Linked DNA regions of Struthio camelus. The protein of the gene in region 2 interacts with the protein of the main gene of each other region in a biochemical or structural test. Links are inferred from orthologs where the notes say so. Each region holds a gene or a part of one and is shown on either strand. Other genes may lie near its edges. The genes, in order: TNS2, ERBB3, SH2D1A and ABL2.

The links.
Region 1: the proteins of ERBB3 (region 2) and TNS2 form a complex in vitro, tested with the Homo sapiens proteins (2 studies listed by BioGRID and IntAct, with this or other methods). The link is inferred for Struthio camelus from reciprocal best matches to the Homo sapiens genes ERBB3 and TNS2.
Region 3: the proteins of ERBB3 (region 2) and SH2D1A form a complex in vitro, tested with the Homo sapiens proteins (2 studies listed by BioGRID and IntAct, with this or other methods). The link is inferred for Struthio camelus from reciprocal best matches to the Homo sapiens genes ERBB3 and SH2D1A.
Region 4: the proteins of ERBB3 (region 2) and ABL2 form a complex in vitro, tested with the Homo sapiens proteins (2 studies listed by BioGRID and IntAct, with this or other methods). The link is inferred for Struthio camelus from reciprocal best matches to the Homo sapiens genes ERBB3 and ABL2.

Annotation. Positions count from the first base shown.
Region 1 is NC_090969.1:1,672,020-1,679,122, forward strand, and holds the start of TNS2 (tensin-2), read right to left. Parts: upstream 3,015-7,103; 5' UTR 2,991-3,014; coding exon 2,898-2,990; intron 542-2,897; exon of another isoform or gene 442-541; coding exon of another isoform or gene 436-441; intron 1-435. UniProt on the Homo sapiens protein: Tyrosine-protein phosphatase which regulates cell motility, proliferation and muscle-response to insulin. Phosphatase activity is mediated by binding to phosphatidylinositol-3,4,5-triphosphate (PtdIns(3,4,5)P3) via the SH2 domain.
Region 2 is NC_090969.1:622,578-630,391, reverse strand, and holds the start of ERBB3 (receptor tyrosine-protein kinase erbB-3), read left to right. Parts: upstream 1-4,806; 5' UTR 4,807-4,869; coding exon 4,870-5,017; intron 5,018-7,814. Other genes in the region: RPS26 (small ribosomal subunit protein eS26), read left to right, coding at 981-1,020, 2,222-2,506, 3,014-3,144, 3,263-3,298. UniProt on the Homo sapiens protein: Tyrosine-protein kinase that plays an essential role as cell surface receptor for neuregulins.
Region 3 is NC_090952.1:10,915,873-10,922,989, forward strand, and holds the start of SH2D1A (SH2 domain-containing protein 1A), read right to left. Parts: upstream 3,002-7,117; 5' UTR 2,891-3,001; intron 1-2,890.
Region 4 is NC_090949.1:6,364,072-6,371,586, reverse strand, and holds the start of ABL2 (tyrosine-protein kinase ABL2), read left to right. Parts: upstream 1-4,505; 5' UTR 4,506-5,473; coding exon 5,474-5,600; intron 5,601-7,515. UniProt on the Homo sapiens protein: Non-receptor tyrosine-protein kinase that plays an ABL1-overlapping role in key processes linked to cell growth and survival such as cytoskeleton remodeling in response to extracellular stimuli, cell motility and adhesion and receptor endocytosis.

The DNA.
Region 1 (7,103 bases), about 1.0 Mb from region 2:
GGGAGCGGGAGCGGGAGCGGAGCGCGGCGGCACCCGGGCGGGCGGGCCGACCCCGGGGGCGGGCGGCCGGGCCAGCCCCGGTTTCCGCACACACAATAGCCGCTTCCCGTGCGCCGAGGCCGCGGTGGGGGCCGCCACGGCGGGGGGGGGGGGGGGGGTGAGGCCGCGCCGCCCCGCTCCGCTCGGCGGCCGGCTGAGGCCGCGCGCTGTCGTGACACTGATGGCGCCGCTGCCTCCGTTTCGCCGCCGGCCGCCCAGGGAGCCTTCGCTCCCCCCCTCCCCCGCCCCCACCTCCGCCCGTGCCTCAGTTTCCCCACCCATCCCCATCACTCCCCAGGCTCGGAATCCCCCCCCCCACCAAAAACACCCGTGGGAGCCGGGGGCAGCGGTGGGGCTGAGGGACCCAGGCGTCTGGCCTGGAGCCCCCGCTCATACCTTCATGGCAGCGGGACCCCCCGGTGCGGCCCGGCGGGCCGGGCGCCGAGCGGCGAGGCTGCCGCTGCTTCCTCCTCCTCCTCCTCCTTCCCCCCTTCTCCCTCCTTCCCTCCCTCCCTCCTTCCCTCCCTCCCGCTCCCGGCCCCTCCTGCCGCCGCCCCGGGGGTCACCGGCGGCCCGTTAACCCCTGCGGCCCCAGGCAGGACGGGGTTAACGGAGGGGGGGCACGGACGGGGGCGAGGGGCTGCCGCCAGCGAGGGGGACGGGGTCCCCCAGCCTGCGCCATCCAGCCTGGGCTCTATAAGTGCCATACGGCACCCTACGGCCCTGCGCCATCCAACCTGGGCTCTATAGGTGCCATATGGCACCCTACGGCCCTGCGCCATCCAGCCTGGGCTCTATAGGTGCCATATGGCACCCTACGGCCCTGCGCCATCCAACCTGGGCTCTATAGGTGCCATATGGCACCCTACAGCCCTGAGTCATCCAGCCTGGGCTCTATAGGTGCCATAGGGCTCCCTACGGCCCTGAGTCATCCAGCTTGGGCTCTATAGGTGCCATAGGGCTCCCTACAGCCCTGCACCATCCAGCCTGGGCTCTATAGGCACCATATAGCTCCCTAGGGCCCTGGGCCATATAGCACAGTGACAGACCCACATTGGCCTGTACAGCCCTGTTTCTCACCCACTTGGCCCAGTAAGCACCCGCTCCCGGCTGGCCGTACGGCGCCGGCCCTATAGCTCCGCCGTCCCTGGCAGCCTGCGCCCGGGCCGGGGCCGGGCAGTGCCGCCCGGAGCTGTGACCCTCCTGTTCCCCCGCCAAGTGCCCGTCAAAGCTGGCAGCGGACCCCGTGGAACCAGCGGGCTGAGTTTGCTGGGGCTCAGCCCGGCGCGCGGGTGGCGGGAGGACGGGCCCCGCGCCGGGGTGTCCCGGCGGGAAGAGGCTCTGCGGGGGGACGAGCCGCATGTGCGGGGACGCCTGGACTCTAGGAAGGAGGCGGCTGGGGAAGGGCTTCCCGTAAGGGCCGGCGGGCGGGCAGGCGGCGTGAAGGGGACGGTGACTGCTGGGTTCCGGTGGCCGCAGGGGAAGGGCCCGGAGCCAGGCGCAGCCGCGGCTAGGTGCCCTGCGGGGCGGCCCTGGGGGAGAGGAGGGCCAGGTGCGGAGCCCATCCCCCTGGCGTCCCGCCTCGGGGTGGCAGGGGGTGATGGGTGGGCTGAGACTCCTGGTGGGGGCAGCTGGGACCCTGGGGCTGCCCTGCAGAGTCCTCGCCCCAGGGAGGGATGGAGGGATGGGGTGCGGGATGGGGTACGGGGTCGAGGGATGGGGTACAGGACGGAGGGATGGAGTGGAGGGATGGGGTTTAGGATGCGGGGAGAGGGAATGGGATGGAGGGATGGGGTTTGGGATGCGGGGAGAGGGTATGGGATGGAGGGATGGGGTTTGGGATGCGGGGAGAGGGAATGGGATGGAGGGATGGGGTTTGGGATGTGGGGAGAGGGAATGGGATGGAGGGATGGGGTTTGGGATGCGGGGAGAGGGTATGGGATGGAGGGATGGAGTAGAGGCATGAGGTTTAGGATGTAGGGAGAGGGTATGAGATGGAGGGGTGGGGTTAGGGATAGAAGGATGGGATGGATGGAAGGTTTGGGATGGAAGGATGGGGAATGGGATGAAGGGAGATGGTTAGGGATGGAGGAAGAGGACATGGGATGGAGGGATAGGGTGGAGGGATGGGGTTTGGGATGCAGGGACAGGGTATGAGGGAGGGATGGGGTTGGGGGTGGAAGGATGGGTTTGGGATGGACAGTTGGGGTATGGGATGGAGGAACAGGATATGGGACGGAGGGCTGGGGTGGAGGGATGGGGTTTAGGATGCAGGGACAGGGTGTGGGACGGAGGCCCTGGGTTTGGGACGCAGGGCTGCGATAGCTGCACCCGCTCTCAGCTTTCCTGGGGGAATTTCCCCTTTCCCCACCATGTCCTGGGGAGGAGGTGGCCCTGGGCATGGGGCCGGGGGCTGCGGAGCTGCCCGGCACCCCCTCGCCAGGCAGCGCGAGCAGACAGAGCCGGGGAAACCGAGGCACGGAGCAGGGAAGCGAGGAGGGAGGAAGCGGGAGGACCCAGGCGTCCGGGCCTCGGCCCAGCTGCGCAGCAGCCAGCCTCGCTCCCGGCCGGCTCTTCCTGGTTCCGGCTCTCGCCGTGAGATCGGCCTTGCCGAAATCACAGCTGGGAGGTGGAGGGGGGGGGGAAGAGCTCGGCTCTTCCCCCTCCCCTCACCTCCACTGACATCCCTCCTCCGGCTGGCGGCAGGAGGGCGACCATCCCCCTGGCCTCAGGGCTGCAGCCAGCCGAACCAGGGTGGCCCGGCTCTCCGGGCCTCGTCTGCCACCCGGGGCTGCGGCTGGGGCACCCCCCCCCGCCCCGGCACCCTCGGGTCCTCCTCGCCCCGCGGGGTAACACACCTTGGGCGGCCGTCGCGTCCCCGCGCCCTGGCGCCCGGCGGGCAGAGCGCAGCAGGGCCGTGCCCAGCACCGGGCGCCTCCTCCCCGGCCCATGGGTTCCTCCCGCCGCCGCCGCCACCGCCGCCGCCGCCTCCTGCAGTTTATTATTTTTTCCCCTTCTTTTCCCTCCTTCCGAGCGCTTTTTTTTTTTTTTTTTTGCCTCCTTCTTCTCGAGGATCTTGGAAACCGCGGTAAAAACTCCACCTCCTCCGGCGGCCTCCTCCTCCTCTTCTTCCTCTGCCAGGGCACCCGGAGCGGTGCCAGCCCCGCGGTCCCCGGGGCGCAGGTGTTGGGGCCGGCAGGGGCCGCACCGCGGAGGGGGGCAGAGCCCGGGCCAACGGAGCCCGGGATTTCGGAGAGGGAGGAAGCCCGAGCGGGGATAATCGGAAACACTTTTCGGCTCGGCCGTGCTTCCGCGGCGGGAGATGCCCTGCCGGCGCCGCGGGGGGCTGCTTGCTTGCGGGTGGCCGAGTAAGGGCATCCCGGTCCCCGTCCCCTGGCTCAGGTGGCTCCTGGGTGTCCCCCCCCCACCCCGCTGCGATGGGCACCTTGACCGAAGACATCCCCAAAACGAGGATGCTGGAGGATGCACCAGGCAGGATGGGGGTTTCCCCTTCGTCGGGGGGCTAGCGACAGCCTGAGATGCAGGGATGCTCCCCGGCACCCTGACGTCCTCGAGCATCTCCGAGCAGCTGGCAAAGCCCAAGGAGGTGGCCAGCGGGACGGAGACGCGGGGCGGACGGTTTGCCAGCAAACCCCTCTCCTGGGCGGCTCGGAGCAGCGTCGTCGCCTCCCGGCGTGCCGCGGCCCGAGTTTCCTACCTGGAGAGAACCTGCTCCAGGTTTCCAACCGCGAGCTGCTTCGGCCGAGGAGCCGGTGCCTGGGCACTCGCGTGACCCCAAACCTCTCAGGGGCACCCGACGCCAACCAAAAAGGCCTTTAGAGATGCACACACCTCTCTCGCCCCGCGCCTGGGAAAAGCTGCTTCTCTGCAGCTCTGCCACCGCCAGCCCGTTCGCCCTCTCGTCCCTGCGCCTCTTTGCACCCCGGCCTCGGTTAGACTTGGCCCTCCGGGTCTGTCTTTCCAGCCTAGCTGGAAAGCCAGGGAGATGGGGAGGGGGGGAAGCAGGCAGCTCCCTGCCTGCTTCGGCACCCTCCTCCTCCTCCTCGGTGGCTCTTGCACTCATCAAACCCTCAACCCAAAGGCTGTTCACCTCTCCTGCTCCTCAAAGCCTCCTTGGAGCGGAGCCCGGAGCTCTGCTCCGCTACGGCCACCGGGCAAAACTTCCCCCGTGGCCGGAAAGCTCAGGGCCGGGAGAGGCAGCGGGTGCACCCCGTCCCGGCCCCAAAAGCCCGCGCCGGCGCTCCCCCCACCTCCGCTACCTTGCTAGCCGGGACGAGTTACCCCATGAAGAGAGAGCCCTGTTCGGGGCCCTCCCGCCCCCGGCCAGCCCGACGGCAAACGGGGCAGGCTGGAATGAGACTTGGCCCCAACATCACAGCAGCCGTCCAAGCCCCAGGAGCGAACACAGAGCCTCGATTGTACACGCCGCGAAGGCCCAGATAGTGTTGGTTTCTTCTGCAAAAACACGATCTGAAATCGGGCCCAAGGTGTGTGTGTTTTTTTGGTTTTTTTTTTTTTTTTTTTTAAAGAAACAGAGCCCACAAGGCGGGCCGTGTTCTCCTGCAAGGGCAGCAGCGCAAGGAGGGAGGCAGCGGCCCCAGGGACGGTTTCCAGCCCGGGGAGCACACAGAGAGCCCGGCTGGGGTAGGTCCTGCACCGACACCAGCTCCGGCTGCAGTTTTGCGCTCTGAGCAAGAAAGAGCAAGAAAGCGCGACTGCTGGAGTAGCTGGAGCCACCTCCATCTTCCCAGGCTTATCATCTCCAGCTTATAGATAGGAAGCCCAGACAGAGGCCGGATACAGGTACTTAATCCCATCAAGTTTTTGAGCAGGGAGCCAGGAATGAGATCAGCTGCTGGGATCGCGGCTCAGCCAAGCGGAGGCGGAGAGGTTTGCACAAGGGGGTAGGAGCTGATGCGGGGCCCGGCGCAAGCAGCCTCGAGATAAACAGCCGCAGGGCGAAGGCGCAGACAGGAGCCCGGCAGAGGCCCCCAAGCCTGGGCCTGTCCCGGCAGCACCCAGAAGGACCTTTCAGAGCACGATTAGCGCACGGAAACGCAAACAAGCGGCGGGAGCCTGCACGGGGGAGGCTCCGCGGTCGCGCCGCAGGAACTGCCGCGAGCGACTCCCTCCCGCGCTAGACACTGAGCGGCTTTATATAGTTGCAGCCAGCACAGTCAGGAACCAGCTAAACCGCAGGTTTAAACGGAGCACCCTTCGTAAATAGGATCGCATCAAATAGCTCATTTCCCTCTGCTCCCTGCGAGCGCCGACCACACTAGCAGGGTTAATTAAGCATTCGCTTAAAAGCAGGCCCGTTAACCAGGCGAGACAAGTCTCCCCGCGCACTAGAGCCCCTGGGTGCTCTGCACCCAAGCGCTGGCTTAGCACGGCCACTCCAGAGCTCAAAGTCCCAACCGGTCATAGGGACGTTGTGGAGCTCACAAGGAGACGGGGCGGTTTGGGCTCAGCGTGGGAACGTATCAGCGGAGAGAGGAGGAGACAGCAGCGAGAGGCAGCAGCTGACTGGGAGACAAGTCAACCCGCTCAGGGCTGGCGGAGAGGAGCAGATGCAGGCGCCCGGGAGGGGAGAGGACCAGTGACGCCTGTGATCTTCGCCCAGCCCAGGAGGAGCAGAAGAAACACCACGGTCTACAGGGGTATTTCTGGCAGGAGCAAGCACAGACCAGAAACGCGCCCAGAGGAGCTGCTAACGAATCTCACCGGTCTGCAGGGAGCTGCTTGCTGAAGGATGACGGGCTCGGTGCCACGGAGAGGAGATCAGAGCTGGCATTTGGGGCTCTCTGCACAGAGCATCTTACACAGTGGCTGCTGGGTTCCTCCTCCGCTTCTCTCCTGCCTGCTGCCAGAAGGCTTTGGGGATGTTTTGGATCAACATCCCTTTTGGGAGGCAGGAGGGCAGAGCCTGTCCCGCATCCAGGCCTTCGGTTGAGGATTACTTCCAGGACTGAGGTGGCACCACCAGCCCTGGAGGAGAAAAGGATGTTACTTAGCTTGCACCAAAGCTGCTCGTGATGCCAGACCTGGCTGCCAAGACCCTTCTCTGGCCCAGGTGGGTTTGCCGGAGTCGCCTTCCTTAACCAGAGCCCGGGAGCTGCTACCGGCAGAGGCCTGCGGCCGGATCCTGGCAGGATCTGCAAGGAGCAGAGGGAGGGTTAGGGACAGGCCAGGCTGGATTAAGGCCACCCTCTGGTGGCAGCAAGAAATCAGTGCTGACACAGGCAGAGACAAGGGACCTGCCACCTGCAGGGCCCAGTGAACCTTCCTTTAGGACAGGGTAAAGGGACTTAAAAGGAAGCTCTGAGGTTCTGCTTCTGGGAGAGGAGCGAGTCGAGAGCTTGGGCCCAGCCCGCTGCCAAGCGGCACCAGAGCAAGAGACTTGCAAATGATTTGGGCATTAAAGGGTATTTTAAAGATTAGTTTTATTGGAGGAAACAAACAAACAAAAAAAACCCAAAAACAAATCAAGGTGGGGGGGTTTACATAATAAAAGACATCTCCCAGGAAGTCCACTACAGATTACAAATCATTTTCATAGAAGATATTTTGTACAAATTTTACATGTTATCTTCAGAACGTGTAAAATGCAATGAGTGAACTTGTCCTGACAGCGGAGGGGTGGGAGCAGGCTGCTGTCTCCCTCCCCGGTGTGATTTAGCACTAAGTATCTCTGAGTAGAGCCCCTGCGGCACCGAGACCTACAGCAACACTGCGGTGGGAGTCCAGCTCTGCTCTTGGGGCAGAATTTGAAGCACAGTCTCTATATCCTGCCTACAGTACGTGCCGTCCCCTTGATGTCACGTTTTCTTGAACTAGCTAAAAAACTCCAAGTCACTGAAATAACTAATCAGCAGCCACTGCAGCCTCTCAGCAGCACGAAGGTGACACCAGGAAGAGATCTGCCAGTGGCTCTGGTGGGAGAGAGGCAAGGAAGCACGCAGGTCTCTCCTCCTCCCCTCTCCCCAAAAAAAGGGTGACAGTTGCCTCGTGAGCACATGCTCTGGAAGCCAGGTGAGCGTTGG
Region 2 (7,814 bases):
CTACTGTAAGTTTTGTACTGTACTGGCTGAAGGTCTGTTATAAATAAACATGAGTAATTTAATGCCCCTGTTTTCTTCCCGAGGGGGCCTGGGGGTCTCCCCCCCCCCCAGGGATGGGGGGGCCGGACGCCTGGGTCCCTCCCCAAGGGTTTGGGTGGGGGGGAGGGAAGGCACTGGGGGGCCCCGGGAATTTTGAGGGGGGAGGGCAATGGGCCCCCTTAGGATTTGGGGGGGCAGGGTATTCCCCCCCCCCGATTTTGGGTGGGGGGGCGCTGGGGGGGTCCCTCCCCAAGCGTTTGGGGGGCAGGACGCTGGAGGTCTCCCCCACCGGGGTTTTAAGGGGGTGCTCAGAGGGTCTCCGCCGGATTTTGGGGGGGGTCTCTCGGGATTTTGCGGGGGGAGCAGGACGCCCGCGGCCCGCTCGGAGGCCCCCCGGCCCAGGACTACATTTCCCAGCGTGCCCCGCGGCGCCGGGGCGGCCGCACGTGGCCCGCGGTGCGCGTGCGCGTCTAGACGCCTCGCGCCGCACGTTGCGTAGAATCGCTCCGCCGCGCGGGCGCGGCGCGAAGGAAAAGTAGTTCCCCTCCTCCCCCCCCCCCCGCCGCGGCGGAGCCACCGACCGCCGCCTCCGCCGCCCCGAGCCGGCCGCAGGGGCCCTCTGGGGCTGTCCGGGGCCGGCAGGGAGCGGCGGGACCGGGGGGGGCTGCGGCGGAGGCACTTCCGGGGCGGAGGAGCGGTATATAAGGGCGGCGGCGCGGGGGCCGGATCCTCTTTCGGCTCCAAGATGGTGAGCGGCGGCGCGGCCCGGGGGGTTTGGGGGGTCCGGGGGGCCCTTAGCGCCGCCCGCGGGGGCCGGGGGGGCCTGCTCGGGGGCCGGGGGGGTACCGGAAGTCTCTGGGTATCGGGGGAGGCTGGTCTGGGGGAGCCGATGTGGGGCAGAGGGAGGCTGGGGGGAACTGTGAGGGCCTATGTAGGGCGGCATGGGGCAGAAGAAGGCTGTGGGGGGCTATGAGGGACGATGTGGGGCGGGGGGGGCCAGAGGGAGGCTATAGGGGACGGTGAGGGACGATGGGGGGCCAGAGGGAGGCTATAGGGGACGGTGAGGGACGATGGGGGGGCAGAGGGAGGCTATAGGGGACGGTGAGGGACGATGGGGGGGCAGAGGGAGGCTATAGGGGACGGTGAGGGACGATGGGGGGGCAGAGGGAGGCTATAGGGGACGGTGAGGGACGATGGGGGGGCAGAGGGAGGCTATAGGGGACGGTGAGGGCCGATGGGGGGCGAGGGGGGCAGAGGGAGGCTATAGGGGACGGTGAGGGCCGATGGGGGGCGGGGGGGCCAGAGGGAGGCTATAGGGGACGGTGAGGGCCGATGTGGGGCGGGGGGGGCCAGAGGGAGGCTATAGGGGACGGTGAGGGCCGATGTGGGGCGAGGGGGGCAGAGGGAGGCTATAGGGGACGGTGAGGGCTGATGTGGGGCCATGGGGGGCAGAGGGAGGCTATAGGGGACGGTGAGGGCTGATGTGGGGCCATGGGGGGCAGAGGGAGGCTATAGGGGACGGTGAGGGCCGATGTGGGGCCATGGGGGGCAGAGGGAGGCTATAGGGGACGGTGAGGGCCGATGTGGGGCCGTGGGGGGCAGAAGGAGGCTATAGGGGACGGTGAGGGCCGATGTGGGGTGAGGGGGGCAGAAGGAGGCTATAGGGGATGGTGAGGGCCGATGTGGGGCCATGGGGGGCAGAGGGAGGCTATAGGGGACGGTGAGGGCCGATGTGGGGCAGAGGGAGGCTATAGGGGATGGTGAGGGCCTATGTGGGGCCATGGGGGGCAGAAGGAGGCTATAGGGGATGGTGGGGGCCGATGTGGGGCCATGTGGGGCAGAGGGAGGCTATAGGAGACTGAGAGCCGATGTGGGGCCATGGGGGGCAGAAGGAGGCTATAGGAGACTGTGAGAGCCGATGTGGGGGCAGGGGGGTACGAGGGAGCCCGTCTGGTGCAATCGGGAGGCCCTCTGGGTGGGGGGGGGGCATTTGGGTGGTGTCTGGGTTGAGAGGAGCCCATATGGGGCTTTTAGGATGTTTAGGGGAGGCCAGAGGCAGCATAGGTGGGGGTGATGGGGATGTTTGGGGCAGCTGGTGGTGTTGGGGAGGGGATGGGGAGCCCCAAAGGGGTCTGTGGTGGGGCTGGATCCTGGGTGAGGCATCCCCAGCGGAGGGCTTGAGGCGATGAGGGTCCTTCAGGGTTGGGGGCCTGCGGCCTGGAGACAGGGGCCTCGCTCTTGGGAGCGCGCCTTGGCTTCATTCGTCGCTCTCTGCCTTCTCCTCACCAGACGAAGAAGAGAAGGAACAACGGGCGGGCCAAGAAGGGCCGTGGGCACGTGCAGCCCATCCGATGCACCAACTGCGCCCGCTGCGTCCCCAAGGACAAAGCGATCAAGAAGTTTGTCATCAGGAACATTGTCGAGGCCGCGGCAGTCAGAGACATCTCTGAGGCCAGCGTCTTCGACTGTAAGGGCCAGGGCGCGAGGGGGTCCGCGGGTGGGTGCCTTGGGTTCCCGTTGATTCAGGGGTGATCCTGCTCCCGTTGCCTGGAGTGACCTCGGTCACTGCGGCGGTAGGAGGCGGCTGGAGGCAACTTGGTCGCCTTCCGCGCGCGAGCCGCGGGGGTACCGCCGGCCGTTCACGTGGGGACAGACCCCCAGCGCTCCCGACTCCCAGGGTAGCGCTGGCTCGGAAAGGAGCAGGAGGTTAACGGAGCGCTGAGGAGCCGTGACCTGCTGCGCTGCCGTTGCTGTGCTCCATGGCCTGCCGACCCCCCGCGCGGGGATGCGGAGGGGACGTGTTTTGCCCCAGGCTTTTGGGGATGAACAGCAGAGCGCACCGCAACGCGGGGGGGACAGATCTGTGGGGCAAAGAGCTCAAACCCTTCGCCTGGCCCCAGTGCTGGGGGTCCGTCTGCGCCGGCGGAGATCCCGTGCGGTTCCCCCTGACCCCGCTCTCCCCCCCCCCCCCCAGCCTACGTGCTGCCCAAGCTGTACGTGAAGCTCCATTACTGCGTCAGCTGCGCCATCCACAGCAAGGTGGTGAGGAACCGCTCCCGGGAGGCCCGCAAGGACCGGACCCCCCCGCCCAGGTTCAGACCCGCCGTACGTATCGGGGACGCTGTTCCGGCTGTGGGGCAGCCCCACGGAGGGTGGCTCTGCCTGGTCTGCTGGGGACTTTCTGCCCCCGAATCTCGCCAACGCTCTCCCTTTCTCTTTGCAGGGTGCTGCCCCGCGACCTCCCCCCAAGCCCATGTAAAGAGATTCCGGCTGAAAACGTTTCTGAAAACAGTCTCAATAAAGGACTCCACACTGAGCCGGGCTGAGCGTGTGTGGGGCTGGCGGCCGGGGTGGATCCGTGCATGGCGGGACATCCCAGCCCCGTTCTTGCAAGGGGGTCCCTGTCCCCACGGGGGGCCGCTGTGGGGCGGGGGCGGCTGCCTGTGCCCAGGGCCTGCGCTGGGCGTTCCCGCGAGCGGCGGCTGGTTCGTTTTCCTGGTCCAACAGGCAGGTGCCGGTGCTCTTTGCCCCGCTGGCGCTCGCCGGGGCCGCCCGGCCCGTTGGCAGCGGGAGGGGGAAGGTGTGCGTGTGTGCACGCACCTGCGTGTCTGAGCTGGGGGGGGAACTCCCACCCAGCCCCACTCCTCTGGGGCGTCCCTCGTCTAGGGGGCTGCTTGGAGCAGGGCGCTGGCTGTCCCTGAGCTCTCGGGGGCTGCGGTGGCTGGGGCTGCCCCAAATCCTATTGGGGGGGGGGGGCAAGACCCTGGCTGGTGGGGGGCTGGGTTTGTCCTGGGGGGCGTGAGGGGCTGGAGGGCTGCAGTGAGGCCAAGCTGTGTCCTGGGGGGCTAGATGGGACAGAGGGGCTGCAGTGGGGCCAGATCTCGGCTGTGGGAGGCAGGAGAGGGTGGGGGGGGCTGCAGTGGGGCCAGGTTGGTCCTGGGGGGCCGGATGGGGTTGAGGGGCTGCAGTGGGGCCAGGCTTCACTGTGGGGGGACCCGAGGTGGCTAGGGGGCTGGATAGGGGCCAGGTTGGTCCTGGGGGGCCGGATGGGGTTGAGGGGCTGCAGTGGGGCCAGGCTTCACTGTGGGGGGGCCTGAGGGGGCCAGGCTCCTCCTGGGGGGCTGGATGGGGTTGGAGGGCTGCAGTGGGGCCAGGTTGGTCCTGGGGGGCTGGATGGGGTTGGAGGGCTGCAGTGGGGCCAGGTTGGTCCTGGGGGGCTGATTGGGTGTGAGGGGCTGCAGTGGGGCCAGGCTTCACTGTGGGGGGGCCTGAGGGGGCCAGGCTCCTCCTGGGGGGCTGGATGGGGTTGAGGGGCTGCAGCGGGGCCAGGTTGGTCCTGGGGGGCCGGATGGGGTTGAGGGGCTGCAGCGGGGCCAGGTTGGTCCTGGGGGGCCAGATGGGTGTGAGGGGCTGCAGTGGGGCCAGGCTTCACTGTGGGGGGACCCGAGGGGGCCAGGGGGCTGCGGTGGGGCTGGTTTATCCTTGGGGGGGGGGAAGGGGGTTGGATGAGGTCGAGGGGCTGCAGCGGGGGCCAAGTCCGCCCCCCCCCCCCCCCAGCCCAGAGGGAGCCGCGGCGGGACCAGGTTTCGCCCCGTCGGGGCGGGCGCAGCGCCGAGCGCGGTGCCGGACGCCTGGGTCCCTCGAGGGGGCGGCGGGGCGGGGCGGGCGCGGCCGGGGCGCCCCGGGGGCCGCCGCTGCGCTCCGCCCCGGCCCCAGCCCCGGCCCCGGCCCCGGCCCCGCTCCGCCCCGGCCCGGCCCCGCGCCAGGTGCATTCCCCCCGCCGCGCCCGGGCACGCCGCAGCCCGCCGGGCTCCGCTCCCAGCCGCCGACATGGCCCCATCCCGCTCCCGGTCTCGCTCCCGGTCCCGATCCCGCTCCCGGTCCCGATCCCGCTCCCGGTTCCGGCCCCGCTCGCCCGGCGCCCTGTCCTGGGCGCTGCTGCTGCTCTGCGGCCCGGCCGCCGGCTCCGCGCAGGCAGGTGAGCACCGGCCCCGGCCCCGGCCGGGCCGCTCCGGGGGCAGCGGCAGCGCTCGCGCGGCTGCAGGGACGGACGGCGGCTCCGGTGCCCCCGACGTTACCGGGGCTGCGGGGGGGCAGCGGCAGCGCTCGGCGCGCCGGGGCTGCGCGGAGGCGCCGGGATGCCCCGAGGGGGGGGACCGGGAGCGCGGGGACGGTCGGGCCCCCCGGTGCCCCCGACGCTCCCGGGGTGGGACGAGGACGGGGCCGGGGGGGGGAGTCCCACCGGGCTGGCACCGGCGGCGGCGGCGGCGGCTCCCCCCTTGCCCAGGACGGCTGCGCCCCGGCGCCACGACCGAGGGGCTCCCTCCCGGGGGCTGCGCGGGAAGGGGGGGGTGTGAAAACCGGGGGGGGGGCCGAGCCGGGGCCGGGGGCTCGACGCCCTCCCGGCAGCAGCACCTGTGCTCCCCGCAGCTGCCGGCTAATTTTAGGCTCCGGGGCCGCCCGGGCCACCAGGAATCCGGAGCGTGAGACCCTCGGGCCCCCCCGGCCGGCGCTGCCCCCCGGCCGGCGCTGCCCGCCCCGTCCGGGCTGCGGGGCGGCGGGTGGCGCGACGGGGGCATCTCGCCTCGGCCCCGCCGTCGCGGGGAGGCGAAAGGCGGGAGAAAGCGGAGTCGGGGAGTGAGGAGGGGGGGGGACGGTCCCGGAAGGAAAGCGCCTCCCAGGAGTTGTTTTTCAGCCCCAAAATGAAAACACCGAGGGCTGGACGTGAAGGTGGAGCCGGGCGCACGTCAGTGGTGCGAACGCGCCGTGCGTGTGTGTGTGTGTCTGCACGGGTGTGAAACCTGTGTCATCCGCGTTGCTGGGCGCGGCGGTTTCGGGAAGGGGAGAAAGGGAGGAATAAACAGGGCCCCGTCGCCGGCACCTCGGTGCGCCAGGGCCCGGCCGCGTGCCGCCAGCGATGCACGGGGGGCCAGCGTGCACGGGGGGCCAGGGTGCGCGGCGGTTGGCTTGCACGGGGGCCGGGGGCTGCATCGCAGGGGGCGGGTTTGCATGGCAGCCCGGGACGGGCTCGCACGGGGGCCGGGGACGAGCGTGCACGGGGTTGGCGCGCCCGGGGCCAGCTCGCACCAGGGCCGGGGACGAGCGTGCACGGGGTTGGCGCGCCCGGGGCCAGCTCGCACCAGGGCCGGGGACGAGCGTGCACGGGGTTGGCGTGCCCGGGACAGACTCGCACCAGGGCCGGGGACGAGCGTGCACGGGGTTGGCGTGCCCGGGACGGGCTCGCACCAGGGCCGGGGACGAGCGTGCACGGGGTTGGCGTGCCCGGGACGGACTCGCACCAGGGCCGGGGACGAGCGTGCACGGGGTTGGCGCGCCCGGGGCCAGCTCGCACCAGGGCCGGGGACGAGCGTGCACGGGGTTGGCGCGCCCGGGGCCAGCTCGCACCAGGGCCGGGGACGAGCGTGCACGGGGTTGGCGTGCCCGGGGCCAGCTCGCACCAGGGCCGGGGACGAGCGTGCACGGGGTTGGCGTGCCCGGGACGGACTCGCACCAGGGCCGGGGACGAGCGTGCACGGGGTTGGCGCGCCCGGGGCCAGCTCGCACCAGGGCCGGGGACGAGCGTGCACGGGGTTGGCGCGCCCGGGGCCAGCTCGCACCAGGGCCGGGGACGAGCGTGCACGGGGTTGGCGTGCCCGGGGCCAGCTCGCACCAGGGCCGGGGACGAGCGTGCACGGGGTTGGCGTGCCCGGGACGGACTCGCACCAGGGCCGGGGACGAGCGTGCACGGGGTTGGCGCGCCCGGGGCCAGCTCGCACCAGGGCCGGGGACGAGCGTGCACGGGGTTGGCGCACCCGGGGCCAGCTCACACGGGGGCTAGAGACCGGTGTGCACGGGGTTGGCGTGCCCGGGGGCCGCGGGGAGCTCCTGCCCCGGGAGCTGCAGGTGCCCGGCCCGCGGGGGCAGCCCTGCTCCGCCACCTCCCAGCCCGTCCCCCCGCCCCGGTCCCCGTCCCCGTGCGGGGCCGGCTGGGGCCGGTGCCCGGCGCCAGCTCTGTGCCCCTTTGTTCGGGGCCGGGATCCGGCCCCGCGGCAGCGGCCGCCCCGCGCACACAGACCCCCTTTGTGCCGCCGAGAGCCGGCGGGTCGGGGACCCGCTTCTCCCCCCCAGCCTTCCCGGAGCAGGAGAGGGGGGGCCCGGACGCCTGGGCCCTCCTGGCGGCGGTGGCGCGGGGCCTCGCGGGCGGCGCGCTGGCATGCGGCAGATAGCGGCGGCGTGCCGGAGCTGCCAGCGGGGCCCCGCGCTGATAACGCCCGGCCGGGCGACGCCGCACGCCGGGGGCCCAGGGGCCGCCGGAGGCAGGTGCAGCCCAGGGGCTGCCACGGCCCCAGACGCCTGGCCCCCCCCCACCCCCCCCGTGCCTCAGTTTCCCCAGCAGCGGGGCGGCCCGGGGCCCCTGGATCCGGCCCGCGAGGCCTTTTGTGCCGCGGTTAATGATTCACCGGCGTCGTCTCAAAGTGCCACTTGTTCCCGGCCGCACTGCTGCCCACGGGATTCCCGGGGTCCCGCTGCCCCGCGCCGGCCCCGCTCTGCTCCCTGCCCCCCCCCCCCGCATGGCTCGGGGCCCAGGCATCCGGTCCCAGCTCCCCCCACCCTCCCTTTGCCCCCCGGTGCCTCTGGGATTTCCCAGCGCCCCAACTCGGTGCTCTCCCAGCTGTGCCCATCCCCAGGGCGTCGGGGCTGGGCCGAGCCCGTCCACCCTCCCGCAGCCCGCGAGGCAGCTGGGACCTTTTTATAGCCCCTTCCCCGATGAAAAT
Region 3 (7,117 bases), on a different chromosome or scaffold from region 2:
TTATTGTGCCAAGGTAATGACACCAGTTTTTTCTTTCAGAAGAAAGCTATATCCTTTACTGTACTTCTACCCAATCTCTCTTGACGATGAATACTTTTTGACTTTTTTTCCACTTGATGGACGCTTAAGCATTTTCGAGCTGAAGCACAGACCAACATGCAGTGAACCCAAACGACCATTTGATTTGCCTTTCACAGAAACTTGGGAAGAGAAGGCAAAGTAGAAAACGTGCCGCAGGAAGGCGATGAAAATCTGGAGCAAAGACATTGACGTCAAGAGCTCTTTCAGCTGATGCAGAGAAACAAGAGAAACCTCTCCCCAGGGTGTACGGGTCAGCCTCTCATCGTGTCAGCACCGCTCACAGGAGTCCTCTCCAGCGGCACCGTGCCACCCGCTTTGCCTCATGCTCTGGGCTGGCCTCCAGCAGCCATTCGCCCTTAACAAGGATGGGAGCAGGGGAACTTGGGCGTTGGAGTGCACTAGGCTCCAAAAAACACATCCCAAGGAATAAACAATATTCCTGCTGAAGCAGCCTTGACCAGCACTGCAGGAAGGGCTGTGTTTTATGACAAAAACAGCAAGCAGAACAGAATAGTCAGGAAAGCCCATGAGACTTCAAGGGAGAGAAGTGACCCCATTATAATCCCAGGTCAAAACCCATCAGCCTCACACCCGCCTAACAGAGACTCAACAGTTCTGCTATAACAGAATCACAGAATCACAGAATCGTTTAGGTTGGCAGGGACCTCTGGAGATCATCTAGTCCAACCTCCCTGCTCAAGCAGGGTCACCTAGAGCATATTTCCCAGGATCACGTCCAGACAGCTTTTGAATATCTCCAGCGAAGGAGACTCCACCGCCTCTCTGGGCAACCTGTTCCAATGCTCTGTCACCCTCACAGTGAAGAAGTTTTTCCTCAGGTTCAGGTGGAACTTCCTGTGGTTCAGTTTCTGCCCGTTGCCTCTTGTCCTGTTGCTGGGCACCACGGAGAAGAGATTGGCCTCATCCTCTTGACACTCCCCCTTCAGATACTTGCACACGTTGATGAGATCCCCTCTCAGTCTTCTCTTCTCCAGGCTGAACAGGCCCAGCTCTTGCAGTCTTTCTTCAGAGGAGAGGTGCTCCAGCCCTCTAATCATCTTGGTAGCCCTCCGCTGGACTCTCTCCAGGAGTGCCATGTCTCTCTTGGACTGGGGAGCCCAGAACTGGGCACAGTACTCCAGGTGAGGCCTCACCAGGGCTGAGTAGAGGGGCAGGATCACCTCCCTCGACCTGCTGGCAACACTCTGCCTAATGCACCCCAGGAGACCATTGGCCTTCTTGGCCACAAGGGCACGCTGCTGGCTCATGTTTAACTTGTTGTCCACCAGCACTCCCAGGTCCTTCTCGGCAGAGCTACTTTCCAACAGGTCAACCCCCAGCCTGTACTGGTGCATGGGATTATTCCTGCCTAGGTGCAGGACCTTGCACTTGCCTTTGTTGAACTTCATGAGGTTCCTCTCCGCCCAGCTCTCCAGCCTGTCCAGGTCCCTCTGAATGGCAGCACAGTCTTCTGGTGTGTTAGCCTCTCCCCCCAGCTTAGTATCATCAGCAAACTTGCTGAACATTTCATTCTGAAACATTAGCCTCAGATAAAGGTATTTCTCAGTACGAATTGTGAAGTATTATTTCATGTTTAATTGCATTGATTTGCATTGGAAGCTTTAAACATCTGCCCAACGATTATCTTAAATTAATACGTCACCCAGAATACAATAAACCATTCTTGACGTCAGTGCCTACAAGGAGGTGATTCTCCTACATTAGAGGAACTGGAAGAAAATAAGAAAAATATCCTTAAAATGCCAGCATGTGTGTCCAGGCTGCTGCACTTAAACAGGGGGAAAATTACACAAGTAGAATTACCACTAAAGTAGAAAAAAGACTTTGGAGAGCAAAGATGCACATGGTGCTCATGCAGGGACGCACGTTCTTATGGTGGTGACCTCCAGCACCACCGTCCCAGCTGGCTCGCGGCCACGTGGCATTGTGGGCTGCCCCAGCCGGCAGCACAGCCCGAGCATGCCTTTTCCTCAGGGCTGAGCACCAAGTGCTGGGGGCACGGTGGGGCAGTGGCGGTGGTGGCTTGTTTTACTGCTGACAGCATTAAGACCTGCTGCGTTTCTGGGCTGTTGCTCCTCCTTCCATTGTATCCCGATGAAAACAACGTTTTCACTTACAAAGAGAACGTCAGCAAATATTTTTAATAACTAAACTTCATACTTTCCCTATCCTTGTTCTTAAAAAAAAAAAAAAAAGAAGAAGTCTAACCATTGAAAAACAAAAAAACAGCTAAAGGCATGGAAAATTTTGGATGAAGCAATTATGCTCTGATAAAGCTACAAGACACCATTATAAGCAGACAGCAACGCAAGGCAGCATTATAATGAGAATTGCTGAGCAATCATATTAATCAGCAGGGCTACCAGCTCGCCTCTTAGCAGCCGGGCCGTCTCGCAAAGGGGATGGCACATCGTGAATCCTCCGCAGAGACGCAGAGGAGATGAAAATGATGCGTGCCCTGGGCCCCCGAAATCCCCGCGAGGGGGAGAAGGCTGAAGCAAAGGAGAGCGATAACGGGATTTGAGTGTTCTGCGCTCCTTTGACAGCAAGGCGCTGCAGCGCATTTTATCTTTGTGAGGTCTTGCAGCAGTCGAGAGCTTTACAGCTCAAATCCCAGAGAGCAGACATTATATAATGCTTAGCTGGCAGCATCTTGCTGGATTTTACTACCACTGCAAAACTTCCCCCCGCACCGGTTTCAGCGCGATGGTCTTTATTTTGCCAAAAAGTGATTTTGAAACATACGCCGTGGTTTTCAGGGGCAGGATGAAAGAAGGCTCTGACTCACAGCGGTGTTCTCTGGTGGCGTTTCAAGGGTTGTCCTCCCAACGAGGAAAAGGTACGTCACCTCGTCGCAGCACGGCCCTGGCAGGAAGCACCTTGCCTGGAGGAACAACAGGAGCAAAGGGCCTCTCACCTCTTCGCCGCTGCCGTCGCCTGAGGAAGCGTTTAGACTAAGCCACCGACCCAGCAGCTCTCGAGGGTACTTGGCGGGAGCTGCTGCCCTTGCGCCGGTGAAGCAGGCCTGGCTGCGACTGGGGACGACTGCGGCTCCAAGGCTGGAGCCCACGTCCCCGCGCACGCGGCCTTTCCCCCTCTCCCAGGGAGCCCGTAGCCCTTTACGGTGCACAAATCACTTGATGCTTCTAGATTTCTATTTTACTGAGCTGTTCAGCCCAGGAAAACACACCGTTTCCCCGAAAGGCAGGTTGCAAAATAGAGCTGCGTTGCATAATGTAACTGGGGAAGCAAAGAAAAGGAACATCTTCCACCGGGCTGGGGCCTCCTTCCTTTCCCACAACACACATTTCAGCCCAGAGCCTTTCATATAAAATATCATCAAATAATTTACAGTAGATGTCAGCTGCAAGCTACAGCCAAAGAGAAGGTTTATTTAAGATACCATGTGGATTGTTGTACAAGATCCTGATGGATTATTTCTATCCGAGAATTTACAGATACTGCCGGAGTGTGGCCAACAATTTGGATTAGTTTAGATTAAACTCAGACTGGGTTGTTTCTTCTCCCTAAGGAAATCTCAGCTTTAGGTCTACTTTTTTTTTTTTTTAAAAGGAAAAATATAGACAAAAACAACTTTTATGCTTTCCAGCAGGTACCTACAGTGCTTCTTCCATCAATCACACCTTTGATATATGGAGGCAGAAGTGAGAGTTACTTCATTTAAAGCTCTCACACATAACTGGGTACATTTACATATTAATCAGACAGCTGAGATGCTAATCTCGCTATCTTATGGGCATCTGTAACCATTAGTCAAAGTCCGGGCGCCTGTTAAATACTCCGGGTGCCACAGAGCGCTCTGAAATCAAGATAAGCGCTGGTGACGAGAAAAGGCTCATATTTACAGTGCTCCTGCGGAGCGCGGGGCTGTTAGCTCTGCAAACACGAATATACGCAGATATCGAACCTCGAGAGCCTTCCCCCGGCACGAGCCTCAGGCAAGGCGACGCAATCCTACCTCGCTAAAGGGCTTAGCGCTTCCTCGGGAGGACGGTGTCTGCAGCTCAGTCTTCTCCAGGCTCTTCCCTGGCCTTTCCGCGGCACGGGGCACCCTCCGGCGCGGCACGCCGGGAGCGCCTGCCACGGCCCGGCGGGGCCGCGCGCTCGACGACCCGGCCCTTTCTGCTGGGCTAAGACCCGAGCCCGCGTTCCTCACCGCCTCGTGCTTCTGAAACACCGTTTCATGAGCCTGGCACGCGCGCCCAAGGTCAGGCGGCTCCCACAGCCCCTCGCCACCTTTTGTCTCTTTTTCTTTTCTTGTCATTTATTTATTTATTTAGTTATTTTGAAAATACAGGCTCATCAATACCAAAACTAGAAAACTCTGCAGTAACGTGCCACCCTTAACGAAACCCAGGCAGGAAATGTGGTAAAAGACGCTTGCACTAGTCTGAGCCAAGGGGCCAAGCGGGTACCGAGGTGCCGGAGCCTTTCCCCATTTCCCCAGGCCGAACAGAAATTGCTGCGTGGCCCCGTTCGAGGGGGAGGAACCAGCGTTTATTCCCTTTGCCGCAGCAAGGGAGGAAACCGAGGAGGAGAAGCAGCTTCCTCCCCGCGGGCCAGCGAGACGCCCCAGGGCCCAGGAGGCTGGCGGCTCCCGGCGGACACGGCCGGAGCAGCCCCGCGCAGGACGTTTTGCAGTTACATTTGGTGGGGAAGGAAAGCCACCTCCTCAGCTGCTCCCGTAACAGCTACCGAAGCGACCAGCTCGGGCTGGCTGCAGCGGAGAAGGTGCCGGCTCCAGTCGGAGCTGCTGCTCGCTGCGGCGCAGGCAACGCGCGGCAGGCGTCCCAGGCAACCGCACGCGAGCTGTTGCCTTTTTTATTTTTTTGGCTTTACCTGTTAACTTTCCGGGTTATAAGTTTGCGAATCAACAGGCTCAACGCCCCAGCTCCCCCCCTCAGCCACCTCGCAAACGGCTTGGGAGTCTGACTCGTATCAGACCGCCTCGCTCAACTACGTCCTCGCCCTCCGACGAGGGCGGGCGGCGTGGCGAGAGGAAACCCGGCGGGCAGAGGGCTCTGCGCGGTGCCCGGCTCCACGCCGCCTGCCCCTTCGCCTGCCCCGGGCCGCACGACCCCCGCCAGCCGCTGCCGGGTCGAACGCTGCACGTCAGTTACACACCGACAGCCACAGGCTGCAACAAAAAACATAAACATATAATAATTGCTCCTGCTGAGGAAGTCACCTGTGGTGCCGTTTCCTTTTTGCAGAACCGTCACAGTTTACGCTTCCTGAGCTTCAATTAAACAAAGGGAAAAATAGGGCGGGCGGCTGGGGCGGCGCCGCGCCACAACGCGCTGACGCGCCTTGGTTCGCGCTGCAGCTTTGTATTTGTTGCTTTCCCCGGGCTAAACGGGGGGCAAGCTCGGCGCTAACCCCCGCGGCGTCGGCGCGGCTTTCCCTCTCCCATGAGCGAGCGGCCGCGGCGGCGATGGCGGCGCGGTCCCGGCCCGGCTGCACAGGCGGCCGCGCAGCGGGCCACCCCGCCTGCCCCGGCCCCCGTCTTGCCGAAACGGGGAACCTGCTCGGCCCGGCAGCGTCGCCTGCTTGCAGCGCGTTTGCGAGTCACCCCTGCAACAGCAAGGACCGGCGCAGGCCGCCGCGGTTTTTCCAAGGGGGATGAGGGCCAGGAAGAGATTAAGGGGCGACGGAGTGGGAGAAGAGGGAGAATTCAAAGCTTTTACAAAAGAACGTGCCTTTTAGAAAGCAAGCGTCAGACTAAAATTAAAACCAAGCAGCAGGCCACGTAATTCCCAGCCCTGTGGCCAGGGAGAAGAGCAGGCTCAGTGGTAAGTCTCAGGCTCACAAGGAGGCTACTTTCAAAATATTCTTAAATATCGAATCATTAGGAAAGTCTTTTTTTTTTTTTTTTTTTTTAACAGGGAGGCACCTGAACGCCAAGCAGTGGCAGGCTGGGTTTAGGTTTTTCATTGGAGAGAGCGATTTAGGCACCTCCATCTCCCGCTGCAGGCCAAATAGCAAGACACGCAGTCGGAAGACCCTCCCCACCACAGGTTTCGGTCCCACTTCTTTGCCAAAACCTGGCTCTGTGTGCCCAAACCTCCCTCCTGCGCCCTGCCCGTGGTGCCGCCGAAGTGGGGGAGAGCCGGCGGCACGTGGTGGTATGTTCGTCCCCAGGCTCCCGTTCACAGCTGTTACCTCGCTGGGTGTTTCGCGCGGCGGCGAGCGTCTGCGCGCGGGAGAGGAGCCAGCAGAGCGCCGGGCGCCCGGCCGGGGACGTCGCCCGCGCACAGCAGCCAAGCGCTCCAGGAGACGCGCGAAGCGGCCAGATCCTGCTCAAGCGTCGAGAGCAAACAAAACTCGGTCCCGGGGAGCGACTGCTATCGTTACAAGGCTCTCGCCTGTAACGCCTGCATCGCCTCCGCTCCCGATCTCGCCGTCAGGCCACGGCGAACGGGATCCACTAACAGCCAAGACTGGCCAGCTTCATCTCCTAGAGCAATTCATTCAGGAAGTGCAAATAGAGTGAGATTTGCTGTTTGAAATGCCATCCGGTGGTTGAACGGATGTTGACATAGCCACGGCGTCCCCAGCCATTTACTCGTTCCCTGGCACGCGCTAAAGAGTAAAATTCACTCTCATTTAAACCACAGAGCGCTTATACAGCATTACAACAGGCAATGGCTCGTATACTCTTACCATACTCGCCGAACCCTTGCTCTTACCGTGATCACTAATCGAAGGTTTACCCAGTTTCCACGGCCTCTGTCATCACTGCCACTCACTCGTTTGAAACGCTTGTTTTAAAGTCACAATTCGTTAAGAGACCAGCTGGATTTCTCAAGCAAGATTTGATGCAGCTTGTATCTTGTTTGCCCAATGACTTGGTCACTTTGCTCTTAAGGCTGTGCAGGTCCTCTGGCCTCCCCGGGGCACAGGGCTGTGCACACAGCAGACAGGTTGTGGGGTGAGTGTCCTTAATGGATAAATCAACCTAGAAACACAAGACAAAGCGACTTCTTGGGTCACT
Region 4 (7,515 bases), on a different chromosome or scaffold from region 2:
ATGCTTCCACAAACTCGCGCATAAGCCGAAATCAGAGGGAAGCGTACCAAATTTTCTGAGAGACTCCTCTAAGAATATTTTAGCTCTGACTAATGTAGCCTTATTTTGTTTTGGACTATCGTGGTGCTTTTTCGAATTCAAATGCAGTAGAGTAGTCATCAGAGGAATCTAAGACGGGATGAGTTGTGCCTCAGATGCATTGATGGAGATACACGCTATAGTACCGTGCTCCAAAGCATTTACTATACCTTAAATGTCAGCTTTCTGGCTGCAAACCTTTCAGGGAGATAAAAGCAGAAAACACCAGAAGAAAAGCTTCCATCTGCAAACTAGAGATCCCTCACTGTTCAATGAGCCAGTAAAATTTCAAACTAGGAACCAAAAAAATTAGGCTCCTAAACAGGAATTAAGGAAACCCTGGAACTCTGGTAGCAAAAAAAAAACCCACTTCTATTGACTCGCCTGGAGGCAAATGCCTAAAAGCCTGAATCATCACCAGTGCTGTCGAGGGACCTCATATTACCTCAGCATATGTACTTTATCAGTGATCACACTGTGCAAGCTGAGTACTAATTTGCAATTCCCAGCAGATGCAGAGACTTGTCATCGTTTTTGCTTGGTAGAGGCATCATTTTCCGCAGAAAGAGGCAAACAAACAACTTTCCTAATGCTCTCATTAGCATACCCTTCTACAACCATTCGTGCCTTAAACAGATGCTTGGGAAGGGCGTGCAGCTGCAGTACTCAGACAAACATATCAGACAGGAAAACAGCTACTGAAGAAGTCCTATATTCTGCTTATTCCATGTTCCCCCACTCTAGTTCTGCTCTGGCGGAGGCTATGAAGAGATGAAGAGGTACCATAATGAGTATAATTCATGCAAAACCTCAGAGCAGTTCATGCTTTCTTACTTGCAGTTGATGGATAAATACACAATGACCAGTTACACACTGTTATGACACAGTGAGGCTGGACACTCACATAGTATACCTAACACAAAACTACAGGAGCAAATCAATGAAGAATCAGGGTACCTGACATGCTGTAGTGAGCTCGCTACACACAGTCACACTGATTTTTTCCCACTACAATGTAGTACAACTAGGCCCTTTCATTCCTCCACGCACAGCCCCAGATTCGCTTTCTCTACCCCGCATGTCAATGTTTAAAAAGTAGTAGTCGGTTGTGTCGGAAGAGAGCGGCCTGAAAGAGGATTATGCTGAAGCAGCATCAAAGAGATAACGAAAGGTTGGTAGCACCTTTCATTAGAAAGGCGGAAGGATTTTCGGGAGAAGGGCTGAGATGGTGTGATACAGCTTTTTGGGGAAGGGTGTATGTGTACGGAGAGTTTGCATTGTAACTATGGTGGAAGAAAGAACAGCTATTCACGGAGGAAATTTCATCAGTCAAGGGCTGCATGTGAACCTCTCTGTGCTGTTGGGCTAAATCTGTTCGAAAACCCTACTTCCTGGGAAAGCTTTTATGCTTACAGACCCTCACTAAACAGGCATGTGAGTACCGCAAGCTATCTTTCATGCACTGTACACAAATTCTCATTTAAAGCATAACAATGATTAAAAATAACTTTTAAGGCAACAATGAAACACTAACTACTGTGCCATGACAGATTCATGTAGACAGTACATTTTAAGAGCTGTCAGTCAAAGACAGACAAAGAGGAAACAGTGAGTGCTTGTGCATGTTTCATCCAGAAATGACGGTCTCCTTTGAAACGGCTCAGCAATTAAAAGCTTTCAGAGTTTAGTGGAGAGCTCAGTAACTAACCTTATGTCACAAAGCCATTATCGGTCTAGATTTTAAAATCTTTCTATATCTATGCATTTTTTAATGTCTTTCCCCAGGACCCCTTGCTTAAGACTAAGAAGGCGCTGCTTGGTGTTGCGCAGGGGAAGGCCGGAGTGTTTCCAGGTACGTTGAGCAGCAACGCCAGGGGCCATCTAGTGGACATTACACACTGCCTTTGCAGACATCCCAGGGGAATTAGACGGCCCTGATTTCCAGGATTTGTTCTGGAATTGCAATAAAAGCAAAAAATCCTGACGTGTTAAGTGCATGTAACAGTATCCTTTACTCTTGAGAATTCTTCGAATGCCTCAGTTGTGACCAGGCCTGCGTTGTCTTGGGCACTTTACAAATACGTCACTTAATGCCATCCGTGTCCTCAAGACCAGCTAAATGTTTAACAGAAGTCTGTTTCTCTGTGTAGCTTTGATACACAGAAGGAATATGAGCTGGAAGAAGAGAAAAGGTTACTCCCAGAATTAATTTTAAAGCCACTGACAGAGTAGCACTAGTTAATTTTTCGGGAGCTACAAACAGGAGCTGCCCCGTTGACTCAATGCTTAGGCTCAGGAGTCTCCAATTTATCCACAGGCTGCTTCTGGCACAGAAACCACACTTCAGGCAAGTGACAGTGACAGCAATGAGTCCGTGACATGTAACGCGGAGCATGTAACACTGCTCAGCCAGTGATTATTTGACAGTGTGATTTTTGGAACATGCTGTGGATGCGGAGTTGCTCAAGAAACTTTGAGAAATGCATATGTGGAGAATATTTCAAGTCAGTTCAGAAGTGATTCTAGAAATATCACATTTTTGGTCAGGCATATCACTGTAATCTCAATGCTGCCTTTGTTCCTCGGTCCTTTTATCCCTTATTCGAACAGCTCATGAGACAACAGATTGACTGGAAGCCCAAAACTGTCAGGAGGGCACTAACTGCTAGGATGCCTAGTTAAATGCATGCCGCCAGACCTCTTCAAAAGACATTACCTTTTGAGAAACAACCTCTTCCAAACGCTACATGAGCTGGGTAACATCACAGCTGATAATAGCAGGCAGCATTGATACAGATTTTACCTCTTCAAAGCACCTTGCAATCGTCGCATAATTTATAACCATGGCACCCTCTGAAGTAAATAATTATCAGCCCCATTTTAATGATAAGAAATGGTGTGACTCAATGTCATCAGTGACTCAGTAGCAAGAAGTAATTTTCAGTTTGGGGAGTTTCTCATTTATATCCCCATTGCTCTTCTAGCAGACAATCTAGAAGAGTGGTCCTCAACCAGGGCTCGACATCGCCTGCTGTTGTGTGGGGCCACCAGAAACGATAACATTAAAAAGATGTTGTTGAGAGGACCAAGGACCATACATTCTGAGGGCACCGCTTGTTCAGCGCATTGTCCACAACCAGCAACGGCTGGGGCACCAATTTAGAAGCTAACTACATAAGGTACAGCATGGTCTTAAAAGTACAATTATACGCTAGCGGACAGTAACCATTCTGTAGCCCCCTTCCCCTTGCAACAGGCCGTTTCACAAGCCCCTACCTGACTCCACGCCCAGTAAGATGCGTCTGTGGGTCAGAGAAGTTCCATGCGATCGAACGTTAACGTAATCCACGCTGAGCTGTTACACGCACACAAGCTACTGAAACGGAGAATGAGGGATTTCATGAGATCTGAGGAATAAGAACAGCAAGAAACTCAATTCTCTTTAGCACACTTAAGTATAACAGTCTCTTGATATTGACATCTTCTTTTAAAACGCTAATGGCCTTCCTCTGGATAGTTCTTTGGGAACTGTGTATAAAAGGCATTAGGAAAGAAAAATATGCTTTCTGTTTATTTTGAAGAGCTGTTCTATCCTACAAGGCAACTGTAAATGGCACAAGGCAGTTTTACGTTTGTTGTCTCTCTACAGTCTCCAGAGAACGTACATTTTGTTTACAAGGCAAACCATTTTAAGTGCCAGCCCTGCAAATTCTGGCTGGAATGAGACCAGGAAATATCTCCACTGTAGAGTTTACCCATGTGGGCCAACCCTGCTTGAGACTGTCCATTTGAAGAGTCTTGCAGAGAAACCCTCTGTTCATATTCACATAGTCACGTCCAAGCTAGGTCCTGGGACTCGGCGGGACGTACCCCCATGCAACATCCCAGATATTCCCAGTGCTATTTTAAGAACAGTTTTGTCGTGTGTTATTAGCAAGCCTGTCGGTAATTCCTGATCTCCACCATGTTCTTAGTCCATTGGTTTAGTAAGTTAAAGCATTTCTGGCTCCGATGCGCTGCCTCACTCTTATTTATTCTAGGCTGCGTCAGAGCACACACCAGCCCAGTGGGATGAACCACCCCCTTTTCAGGCTGAATTGCTGTTGCAGCAGGGCACAATTTGAGTTTATGTCAGTATGGAGAGCACTTTGGTAGCACCTCTTGACCCTGAGAAGGCAGACTATGACCTTAAAAGTGTTGCTAAAGATTTTGCGTAAAAAAGCTCACTTTCATGGAGCACACAGAGTATTCCCTGACCTTCCCGCCCCAGAACACCCACACAAAGGAAGCGGGACGCCGCTTGCTGTGGCTCCTTGGAGGCTGGCTGGCTCCGAGTGTTATGGAGCCAACTTGTCATTGTCACGTCAGTTCTTAGTGATGTGGCGGGTACTGAGATGAGCGCCACTGTGGCTCATCCCTGAAGCAGCAAACATTGCCAATGCATTGCTGAAATTGTAGTTAGCTTGGAGAGAGAAATACTTCCAAACATCTCAGTCCTCTAAACAGCCACACGACCGATGGGTTTGGTTTTTTTATTTTATTTTATTTTTTATTTTCCAGGGTGAAACCTCCCCTCCTCTGCTTTGAATTGGAAAGCCTTCTGCTGGCAGGAGAGAAGCCGAAAGGAGGCAGTTTAACCGCACGCCAACGACTTGCAGAACAGAGCGCGCGGTTCGGCCGCCTGATGACCAGAGGCGGCCGCCAACCGCACCTGGCCGCCGCGCTGGCGTTGTTCGTGCCGCTGCGCCTCCCAGAACCCAAGGAAGGCAAGGAGAGCAGGTCAAAGCTCCCGTCACCACGAGGGCTGGGGCCGGCGAGCAGCGAAACACGAAGCGCGCCCGCCGCAGGAGAGAGCCGGCCCGGGCGCCAAGGCTGCTGCAGCGTCGCCGCACGGCTTCCCCTTCTGCAAGGCCGGGTCCAACCCGCTCCAGCAGGTGGGAAAGCGGCCCCGGGGGGTTAAAACCTCGTCTCTGCTTGGATTCCTCATTCTTTGCTTGTAGGAAAGGCAGAAACTCGGGTCGGAGCCGGCGGCAGGCTTGTCGCGGTTCAGTTTTTAGGCCAAGCCGGGGGTCTTCGGGGGGGCCCTCACGGCCCGACCTGCAGACCCCCACCCGCGGGGGACATCCTCTCGCGGGCGGGGGGTTAGGCGGGGACACGCGTGAGGAAGCTGGCGCGGCAGCAAAGACACCTGCATTTTGTCCCTAAACCCGCCAAGGAAGCGGCTCGGCCGAGCCGGGCAGCGGCCGCCTCGGGCCTCGGCCGCGCAGCGACACATGGCAGCGAAGGGACGGGAACGGCACTGCCCCCGCCGGCCCCGCACGGCTCCCCCCGCCAGCGGGAAACGCTGCGCAAGGCAGGCGACCCCCGGCCGCGCCGAGGCAGCGGGACGGCGGCCATGGCGAGGGGGCGGCGGGGGGGGGGGTGGTGGGAGGACCGGAGGTGGCTGCGGGAGCCGCTCTGTCCCCGCTGCCGGAGCTCTCTGTGGTTAAGATGGCGGCGGCGGGGGCTGAGGGGGCGAGTCCGTGAGTCCCAGGCCGCAGCGCCCGGCGGCGGCGGCGAGGCGAGGCGGGCGGCAGCCGCCGCGCCGGGGAGGGGGGGAGGGGGGAGGAGCGGGGAGGGGGGGCCGGGCCGGGCCGGGCCGGGCCGGGCAGCGGCGGCGGCATGTGAGCGCGGGCCGCGGCCGGCAGCGCGGCGATGGGGCAGCAGGTGGGCCGCGTCGGGGAGCCGGGCGCCGGGCTCCAGGCGCCGCCGCCGCCGCCACAGCAGCAGCAGCCGCCGCCGGCGGCGCGGGGACTGCGCGGGAGCAGCGCGGCCAGGCCGGCGGGCCGCAGGCGGGAGGCGGCCGGCCGCACGGCCGAGGGCGGCTTCAACATCTTCACGCAGCACGGTGAGGGGCCGCGCCGGGGCGGGGGGGGGGGGGGGGTCCCGGGAGGAGGGGGGGGGGAAGGGGGCCGCGGCGCCCTCCTCTCCCCCCCCCCCCCCAACCACCACCACCCCCACCCGGCTTTTGTTGTTGTTGTGGCCTTGGCGGGGGGGAGGGGAGCGCCGGGCGCGGCGACGGACCCGGACCCCGACCTCGCCCCGGCCCCCGCGGAGGGAAAGCGCCCCCCCCCCCCCCCCCCCCCGCCGGTGCCCACGGCTGTCATTGCAGCGGCGCCCAGCCCCCGGCTCGGTGCGCAGAGAGCAGCGGTGCGTGTGCTCGCAAGCTCATCTTTGTCTCTCTTGTTTGCTGAGGCGCTTGTCACTCGCCCTCCTCGCTCTCGAGCCCCCGCAGCCCTCGGCCGGGCAGGCGGCTGCGTTTCGGCTGGAGCGTTAGAGCTGCCCTCGCACCGGGGTAGTTCTTGCCCGGCCGTTCCCCTGCTCGATGCTGTGAAGCGACACCAGATGCGTTAAGTGCAACGTGATTCGTTTCTCTAACCTCTCTCAGGAGGGGCCCAGAACTTCATATCCCCTCTCTTTTATAACTTTTCTATGCTTTCTACTCATTATCTTTATTTTGGCAGCTTCTTGCTGTAATGCGTGAGTTTGGGAAGGTATAATAAACTGAAACCTGCCTGCCTTGGCAACCATGTTGAAAATAGGTGTTGGGCTGATGCATCTCTGATCCTAAAGAACTGGTTTGGCTATTGAGAGCATCATTGATTTGGCATGTTTTAGGTGGAGAGAGATGTCAGTGTTTATAGAACAAGGCTGCTCGTGACAATACATGTTTTTCTTCGCTCAATAGAATGAGCGCAGGCAAAAAGATTAAGGAACATGCAGCCGGCAGCCCAAATGTAAATATCATCTGCTGTGACTGCTGACACGTAAGTATCTATCAAAACAAGAGTGCAGCACTAAATCTGGTTCTTAAATTCTCACTGTTATCACAGCTTTTGAGTTCAGGGAGCACTATCAACTTCAAAACCAAAACAGAAATCCACAGTTGCTGAAATGTCTGACCTGCTATTACTGCAATTAAAGCTAAGGATTACTGTTGTATTTCGTCTTTTAGCTGTAGAGTCATCAACACCATGTTTTACTATGTTTGTCTTCACCGCATTTGCATTTTTTTGTAAGGCACGTTGGCAGAAACATTACTGAAAGCCAGAATAATACTGTAAATTCACAACGTTAGGAGCAGGTCTCAGTTATGCGCTTACCCTGGTTCTTTTCAGTATGCTGAAGCCTAAGTCTTTAGTAGGCAAGCAAAACTGCTGTATAGACTGCTAAGCATGACTTAGCAGCTAGAATACCCTCACTAATGACATCATCTTTTAGCGTTTTGGTAGCAAAGATGGCTATTATGTTCTTGCTCTTACAAGACAAGTGTACGATGAAGGACAGAAAGGACATCTGTGGAAAGTATGGTACAGCAGGTGGGGCCCTGTACTTGCTTAAGAGAAACACAGTTAGGATTTTCTTGACTCAGGGCATCTTTTCATTTCTCCACGTTTT